Rattus norvegicus: one gene and its partner. The protein of the gene in region 2 interacts with the protein of the main gene of each other region in a pairwise test. Links are inferred from orthologs where the notes say so. Each region holds a gene or a part of one and is shown on either strand. Other genes may lie near its edges.

The links. The genes of interacting proteins can lie anywhere in the genome.
Region 1: the proteins of Ankrd13a (region 2) and Qdpr interact in a two-hybrid assay, tested with the Homo sapiens proteins (2 studies listed by BioGRID). The two-hybrid records come from large-scale screens. The link is inferred for Rattus norvegicus from reciprocal best matches to the Homo sapiens genes ANKRD13A and QDPR.

The regions. Positions count from the first base shown.
Region 1 is NC_086032.1:69,881,288-69,885,575, forward strand, and holds the start of Qdpr (dihydropteridine reductase), read left to right. Parts: upstream 1-1,488; 5' UTR 1,489-1,538; coding exon 1,539-1,634; intron 1,635-3,989; coding exon 3,990-4,082; intron 4,083-4,288. UniProt on the Homo sapiens protein: Catalyzes the conversion of quinonoid dihydrobiopterin into tetrahydrobiopterin.
Region 2 is NC_086030.1:47,485,657-47,489,955, forward strand, and holds the start of Ankrd13a (ankyrin repeat domain-containing protein 13A), read right to left. Parts: upstream 2,801-4,299; coding exon 2,705-2,800; intron 1-2,704. UniProt on the Homo sapiens protein: Ubiquitin-binding protein that specifically recognizes and binds 'Lys-63'-linked ubiquitin. Does not bind 'Lys-48'-linked ubiquitin.

The sequences.
Region 1 (4,288 bases), on a different chromosome or scaffold from region 2:
TTTTTATTTTGAAACAGGGTCTCATTAAGTTACCTAATCTGGCCTTGAATTCAGTCTGTTGTCCAGGCCTTGAGTTTGTGGTCCTCTTGTCTCAGCCTCAGGCATAGCAGGGATTCAGGCTTGTACTACCAGGCTTGGCTAGAGATATTTCCATCTTTATGACAGAGGGCAGGGGGTTGCTACTGGCTTCTAGGGTTCGAGACCAGGGATGCTGTGAATACTATAAACATACAGGTAGTCTCAGTTCAAATTATCTGATGCTAAACACCAGCACTGCAGTTGTTAAATCCCTTGCTCATGAGCAGAAGTTAGTTAACTCGCAAGTGGTGGGGATCACCAGGATCTGCTGGGGACGGCTGTCATCATTTGGTGGGTCTCAACACACCTAGAATATCCTTTGCTTGGGATCCCATGCAGCCAGGGACCCATAGCCCAGTAGGCACGCAGTTTAGGACAGGCCTAAAACATCCTTAAATTTGTGCCCCTACCAGACCAAAGGCGGTTGTGCTATATACTAATACTATTTTAAATATTAGTAGTTACTCCCGATCACATTCTTTGTTTTAAAGTCATTAATTCCAGAAATGGAAATGTTTAAATTACAGAGCACTCCAAATTTGTATTGGCAGATTTTCACTTATAAACGTGTTCCCATTTACACAGTTGTTTTCCTTCTGAACAAATGAAACAGACTTCTAAGATGCTCAGTGAACTTTAATAACCAGGATTGACAAGACTAATATTGATAGCTGCGCAGTACTCACTGTACCTTTAAAATTCTTTTCTCCAACTCTAGGCACAGCCTATTCACATTTTATTTGCGAGGAAACTGAGGCACAGCACAAAACAATTGAAGAAGTTGCTTAGACTACGCAGCTGTTAGACAATGGGGGTCAGGCAAAGTTCATCTCTTATCTGGGAGTTACAATATTGTGGCCTGTTTGCATCTGTAATTATTTTCACTAACGAGCCCGGCAGCATCTGCTCTAATAAACCCTAGCTTCTGGCTGGGGCGCGGCGCTGGGGAAAAGCTCTCATTGCCCGAGGGCACACCCTAGGTGGGGTTCAAGACACTGTGGAGAGCGTGCTGCACGCCTACTGGGTAAAAGAGGGGGCGGGGCGGGTGGACAGGCACAGTTTAGAGCACGCGCCTAAGTTGCTACACTTTTATTGGCTCCAGAGCGGTGAAGGCGGGGCAGGTGGGCAGGGCACAGCAGAGAGCGTGCGTCTCAGCCGCTTAGCTTGCACAAGTTCACTGAAGGAAGGCGTGGTTTACTGTTATCTTACTTAGGGCGGGGTGGGCTGGCGGGGGCACAGTCGGGGTCACGCACTTCAGCTTTCGCGCTTCTATTGGCCGAATCAGGAGGCGTAGCTCTGTGATGGCTCCGACTCCGCCTTGGGGCGGAGCTTTGGGGGCGGGGCACAGGCAGGGGCGGGTGTTCTGGGCAACCTTCCTGAGTTCCTCACTGGGTATCGGCGAGCAAGGGAGTGCTTTTGGGTTTGGCGATCAGTTCCGCGGGAGTCTTGTCAGGAGCAGGATGGCGGCTTCGGGCGAGGCGCGCCGAGTGCTGGTGTACGGCGGCAGGGGTGCTCTGGGCTCGCGCTGCGTACAGGCCTTCCGGGCCCGCAACTGGGTAATATTGCGAGACGGCCGCTGCAAGCGGCAGACTCTAGGAGAGCGGGGAGATCCGGGACTGTCGGCCATGTGCACCCATGACTAGGCTGCATGCGCACGCACCGGTCTGCTCTGGGCCACAGGTGCCTGGCCTTCGCCCTGTGAAGAGCGTGGGATGTAGGTGCTCCTTAGGCCTCTTCCAGGCCCAGAAGGTCCAGCGTGACTTGGGAGGGAAGAGGAGCAGTGTGAGCGAACTGGGAGGGGAAAGGCAAAATGAAGACTCTGGAATTGGGCTGCCCTAAGTTACTAGCCTACTGACCTTGAATTGGTTACTTAATGCCGGCTAGCCTCAGTTTCCTTGTAAAATAAAATGATTATGTTCCTGTTTATTCTTGGGCCAATCGTAATGAATAAATGAGATAATAGGTAAACGCCGTTTAAGTGCTAGGTGTTACCGACACTGCAGCCTGTGTTGCAGGCAGTATTATTAGCCTTGTTGGAACTGGTAGTCGAACGCTCAGCCCCTCAGCTGCTGACATCTTTGCTTAGTAAAGGATAATTCAACTTTGTCTAGTCGTGTGTCCACTTCCAGACGGTGGCAAGTGAGTGCAAGGCTGATGTTGGCTCCAGCCTCTTAGCAGGGATCAGAATGGCTCAGCATAGGATATTTCTAGAGTCAGCCCTGGAGTTTGGAGCACCTTCCTGAGAGTTTAGTTAGCAGAAAGCAGCAGCCTGGGCAAAGGATCCCCTTTGCAGAGAGGGACACGGGATTTTGTTCTGGCTTAAGTGTGGTACAAGAATAATACCACTACCTGTTTAGAATCTTGGAAGACTGGGATGTCTTCACAATCTGCGACCTCAGAGAGTGGAGACAAAGGGAGCACTGAAGGGGTGGGGTGTGTCTACCTCCACTGAGCCCTGCACTCTTTATATCAGCTCTCCCTGACTCAACTTCATTGATCCTCTTGTACTGGTTGCCTTTTATTGTCACATTGACAATCTGGAGTCACCCTGAAAGAGGGACCCTCAGCTGATGAATTGCACGGGTCCATTTGCCTGTGGCCCTATCTGTGAGAGCTTGTCTTGATGGATGCTTGATATGGGAGGACTTAGCCCAGTATAGGTGGTGAGGAAGGTTGAACCTTGGCTGCCTAAGAAAGAAGCTGAGCGTGAGCCAAGGAACCAGCCAATAAACATTGATCCTCCTTGGCCTCTGTATTGAGTGGGATATACTAATTTACCAGGGATTCTGTTCCATCTTCTTCCTGGCACCCTAGGGAGGGCTGGGTGGAGCCGGCTTTGTATTATTCCCCATAGTTTGGGGTATACAAGTAATGAGTGCTGAGTGAGGCTGTAATTGCTCCTAAAGGTAGATACTGACATCTGGGTCTTCAGTCTGAAGGAGCAGGAGGTTTCTGAAGGAGTGGGCATCCTTCATGTCATTTTGTTCTTACTGACCCCGTTAATCAGTCCCTCAATTTCTGTGGTGGAGGAGATTGTCACTTTATGGCAGAGCCAGCATTGATACCCGAGTCGGACATCCACACGGAAGGCTCATCTGCCTCTGCTGAAGGGAGGGGGGGTCTTCCATAGGACACCCGGACAACTGTCATCTCTATGAACCCAAGAGCTGTGAATTGCAAAGGGTTTTACATTCTGAAATGGTTTTATAACACAAAAAGAGCGTATAGTTTCTGTTCCAGCATCTGTCATTTTCAGGATGGCCCATCCCTGTCCCTCCAACTCCATATTGTTTTTAGCTGTCTCTTGTGTTAGCAGGTTTAAGTATTGGTGGCAGAGATCACCACAGAGTGACCTCAGGTGTCTTGAGATACATGTAAGGTTTGGCCCTCAGAATCCACCAGGAAAGGGGAAGAAGGTTGTTCAGAGAACAGGCTGGGATGTGCTGAGGTAGATGGTGGACCAACTGCAGTCAGTGGTCCCTGAAGGATGTCTGGTTGTTATTACCTTTCTCTAGTGGGTTTTTACTTAGTATTTGGTAATGATCCAAAGATCTGAAATGTTTCTAAACCCTGAACTTTTAAAGGGCTATTTGATTCCCCAGATGGGAAGTTTTAGGCCATGAAGCCTGTTGCATGTTCAAAATTATTAAAAGTACTATGTAAAATTACTTTTAGACTGAGTATATAGAGTGTATTAAACATGTGGATTTTGTGTTTAGAGTTTAGTCTCATCCCCACGATAAGCATATACAAATATTTCGGAATCCCAAACTGGAAACTGGAAACTGGAAACATTTCATGTATTTCAGTTTAAGCCTCTTCACCTTTTCTTTGCTTCTATTTCTGGGGGTTGTTCCTTTGAGAAGTCACAACCCACCAACTCTTGACCAAAGCTGTTTTTCTTGCTTCAGTGGGTTGCCAGCATTGATGTGGTGGAGAATGAAGAGGCCAGTGCCAGCGTGATTGTTAAGATGACAGATTCATTCACGGAGCAGGCTGACCAGGTAATTCTCTTTTTTTTTTTTTTTCTTCGGAGCTGGGGACCGAACCCAGGGTCTTGCGCTTGCTAGGCAAGCGCTCTACCACTGAGCTAAATCCCCAACCCTTGACCAGGTAATTCTCAAAGGTCCCTCACTGTGACAGGAGAAGCCCAGGGAGGGTTCCCCTGGCTTTGTTCTTTGTCTGCCAATTCTAAAATCCTCTAGAGGAA
Region 2 (4,299 bases):
CACAAGTGCTACACCGTCAAGGGACCCATTGTGTTAAATTAGGACAGCCTCAAAACCGAGAGGACCAAAGAACCGGCAAGTACATGAGCATTCTCTCTCAGCCTTGAAGTCAAGGACAGCAATGACCTTAAGTTTTCTCCCATCGAATCTACAGCAAGACTTTTTAATTCCCAAACCCTGCCAAGCCTATGACCCCCAGGACAGGGGAGGCTGAGGAGGGAGACTACTGAGAGGGTTTGAGGCCAGCCGGGGCTACACAGATGACTTGCAGGCCACCTAGATTTACACGGCAACGCCGTCTCAAAACAAAAATAAAAGATTTTAGTTCCCAAACTTTAATTACAAATGCTCTTAAGGTCTGACATGGTCAAAACAGATCTTCCATGCCTTTATCACTTTTTTTTTCTTTTCAGGAAACGGTGACTCGGCCACTGCTGAGATCGTGACCAAGACCTGTCTCTTACTTTTGCAGACAGCTCTCCCTCCTCAGTGAGGAGAAAGCTGCTTTCAGAACTCCGGCCTGAAGTCCGAGGTGTGATAACGAATCTTTCTATCACATGGGATTTAATCTCGTGACATGACTCTCTGTACTTTCAACAGTGTGTGAGCTTCGAACCACTGTCCTCAGCAGAACGACCCGGAGCCCGGAACCCTTCCATGTTCTAACCCTGAGCTGTAGGTGCTTCAAGTCCTTTTCTGCATTTTTTATATTTTTATTTTGAGACAGAGTCACACTTGCCCAGACTGGCCTTGAACTTGTCATTCTCCTGCCCCGGCCTCCAGGACGGGGGCCACCACATCTAGTCAAAACTGGTTACTTCTTGAAGTGTCCGGAATGGGGCTTGTGGATGGGTGTAAGAGCTTAGATTCTAGAGAAGGCCTCTGAGCTGTGTGAGAGTTAGATCAGCAGGTATACTGGGATAGCAGGCAGTGAATCATCCTCTCTGGGGGCATGTGTCATATCTCTTTAAATCCTAAGTAGTTACCCTGTCATCTAATTAAGAACAATGACTCTTACAGAACCTTGCCCTGTCTGGACCCCACCCCCATCCCCCACATACCTGAGGATGAAACCCAGGGCCTCCCACACAACAGAAAAGTGTTCGGGCCCCACAGGCTGTCTCACCCTTTCTTATTTATTTTCAGACAGGCCCTCACCAAGTTGCCCAGGCTAGCCTCCAACTCCAGATCTTCCCGCTTCAACTTCCTGGGCGATTTGGGTTGCTGATGTACGCCGACATGCCCGCCATGGAATCCTTATTTTTAAAATGTGACTTTTGACTTCCCATGGTGCCCATCCAACTAAAAATACATATGGCAAGCTATAAACCAAGGCCGAGTAGAACTGTTCCAACAGCAGCAAGGCAATGTTTACCAATCAAAAGAACCAAGGGTTCGCAACAGTTACTAGTCAGCGGTAAGTCATTCAAAAGCAAGCCTCTGACACACAGGCTAACATGAATGAAGCCTACAGTAACAATTGTGGTGGATTTCGGGAGTAATTACAAATCCTTATCTCATTTGCTACAGGTTAGAGAGCAACCCAGACACCCCATACCTAATGAAATGACTGCAGCGCCCTTAATGCCAGGAGTCTCCATCCAGGTGGCTCAGCCTTCAGCAGGCCACTCCTCACCCAGGTTTGGGGCCAGCCTGGGCTACACAGTGAACTCCAGGCTAAGCAGGGGTTACACAGTGAGACCCTGTCTGCAGCAAAAACAGAGAAAAACCAAGAAACCCAAACAAACGAAATAATATAACACCAAGATTCTCAACCAAGGCTCTACTAACATTTGGAGTCCGGTAACACTCTGTTGCGGGTGGGTGGCTGCCTTTTACACTGTAGGGCACAGCGGGGTCCCTGGCCTCCACCCAACTCCATGCCAACAGTACCCACCTCTCATGTCACAACAGCCCCAAACTTCTCCTTGCACTGCCAAATATTCAGAACCGCTGATTTAGAAAGATGGCAATATTAAAAACAACAACAACAACAAAAATCCAAAGTACTTCAGAACAGGGGGGTCCTAAGGACTGAGCAGCAGAGACTCTCACACTTAAACCAACTACCCTGGGGAGCTCGTTAAAAGCACTGATTCCTAGGCCCCGTCCCAGCCCCATCAATTTAGACAGGGACTGGGCTTTCCGTCATCACTGCCTACACCCTTATCCTATGGGTAAGGAAAAGTGGGCCCCGGAACATAACTGCTTTGCCCAAGGTCACAGGAGTTAGAACCGGTCCACGGAACCCAACCAAGCTCTTCCCCAGCACCAGGGCGGGTGGAGTAAGGGGTGTGTGTGTGTGTGTGTGTGTGTGTGTGTGTGTCGCTCTTCCGTCTTCGAGTAAGGGGTGTGTGTGTGTGTGTGTGTGTGTGTGTGTGTGTGTGTGTGTGTGTGTGTCGCTCTTCCGTCTTCGAGGCCATAAAGCTTAAAGGTGAATTCCCGGGCCAGCCGGCCTGAGATAAAAGATCCCGACGTGGTTCTCATTAGCTCGGTGGCCTTGCGCCTTGCGCAAGGCAAGTAGGCTCTGGGGTCTCAATTTCCTTCCCGGTCAAGCGGAATACTAAGCACTCATTCCTAGTGATATCAGAAAGGGGAGAGTGGACCAAAAGCCCAAGGCACCGGGCCCGGTCTACGGTGAGCGCTTGATAGATCCCGGGACTCGGGAGTCGAACCGACTCTGACTCCGCGCCGCGCACCTCACCTGGTCCCGCAGCTCCTTCTCCAGCTGCCGGTAGTCGTTGTTCCAGACCAGAAGGTGCAGCGGGAAGCGGCTGCTGGTGTCGCGGGCCGAGGACATGGCGAGGAGGTCGCCACCCAGGCCTGACCGCCCGCCTGCCACCAACCTGGACCCACCCGACGGGGTCTCGGGGGCCCGCCCGACCGGACGGAGAGCGAGGGGAGGAGAGCGGCGAGCGGCCAAGTGCCGGGCGCAGCGGACGACAAGGGCCTCCGAGTCCGGAGCGGGCGGCGCGGGAGGCCCGGGGTCGCGGGCCGGGCTGGGGACCGGCTCGGGGACCCGCTCGGCCGCGCCCACCCCGCGCCCCGCGCGCTCGCGCCCGCGCTGACAGCTAGCGAACCGACTGCTGCCGGCCGAACCGCCCCGAACAGGGAAGTACGCGAGGCGTTCCATCACGCTCCGCGGAGGGGGACCTGACTTCCTGAACGGACCGAGTCCCGCTCCATGTCGCCCCACCAAGCCCCCACGCCTGGACACACGACCACCACCGTTCTGTGGAACTGCGGGACCCTTGGGAAGCCCGAGATCTCCACGCACAAAACCCACTGTGCGCGCCCTCCGACTCTCGTCCCCTGCCCGGCCTTCTCCAGTGGTGCGCTCCACAATCGGGCCTCTTCCATCGGCTCTGCCGCCCGGGGGTGCACGCGCAGGCCTGGACCAAACCATCGGACTGGAGCCTCCCTCAGCCGCCGCCTTCCGCGATTGGTCGGAAACCATTTTGGAAGTGGGCAGCGTGAAATCGTGTTCACAGGAGATCTGGACCCCGGATAAGTGACACCAGATACCCTCACTATCGGGGTAGTTGTGTCTCTGGGCTTTTAAACTTTGCAGTGTTTGAACTGGGGGGTTCTGTGCGCGGAGGTCATCCGATGCTTTGTAAGTTAGGGTGGACGCTCGCCTGTTCCATGCTGTCAGTACTCACACTATCCCCCAAACTGTCTCCAGACACGGGCAGTTTTTTCCCCTGGAGGAAGAAAACCGCCCTGTTGAAAACCGCTGTTCTGTCTGAATTTCCAACTCGGCTATAATTCAAAGTGCTTGCCGTGAAGGTTTATCCCGCATCAGCCTCACTAAGCTAACCACTCAGATTTAGGATTGTGGCCCAGAGGAGTATCCAGGTTGGTCCACAGTATGCACAAGTAAAATTCATCCTTTGGGTTGCGACTTCAGACACTGTGTCTTCTCGTCACAACGAAGAAACAAGTGCTGTCTCTGCCCAGGTGTTTACAGCTGCCACGAAGTCCTCCAGTGCAACCTGCAAAGCACCCCCTCTTCCTTATTGGCTCTATATACACAACCCATCTCTTCAGATGAGTGCGAAGGCTGTCCAAGAAAACTGACCACGTCCATTCTGCTCGGGTCTGGAGTCCTTGAAGAGTGAATGGAGCTAATACAGGATACAGTGACATAAAGACGGCACCTAGGGGCTGGAGAGATGGCTCAGAGGTTAAGAGCATTAACTGCTCTTCCAGAGGTCCGGAGTTCAATTCCCAGCAACTACATCGTGGCTCATGACCATTGGGATTCTATACCCTTTTTTCGTGTGAGCTGCAGCGTAC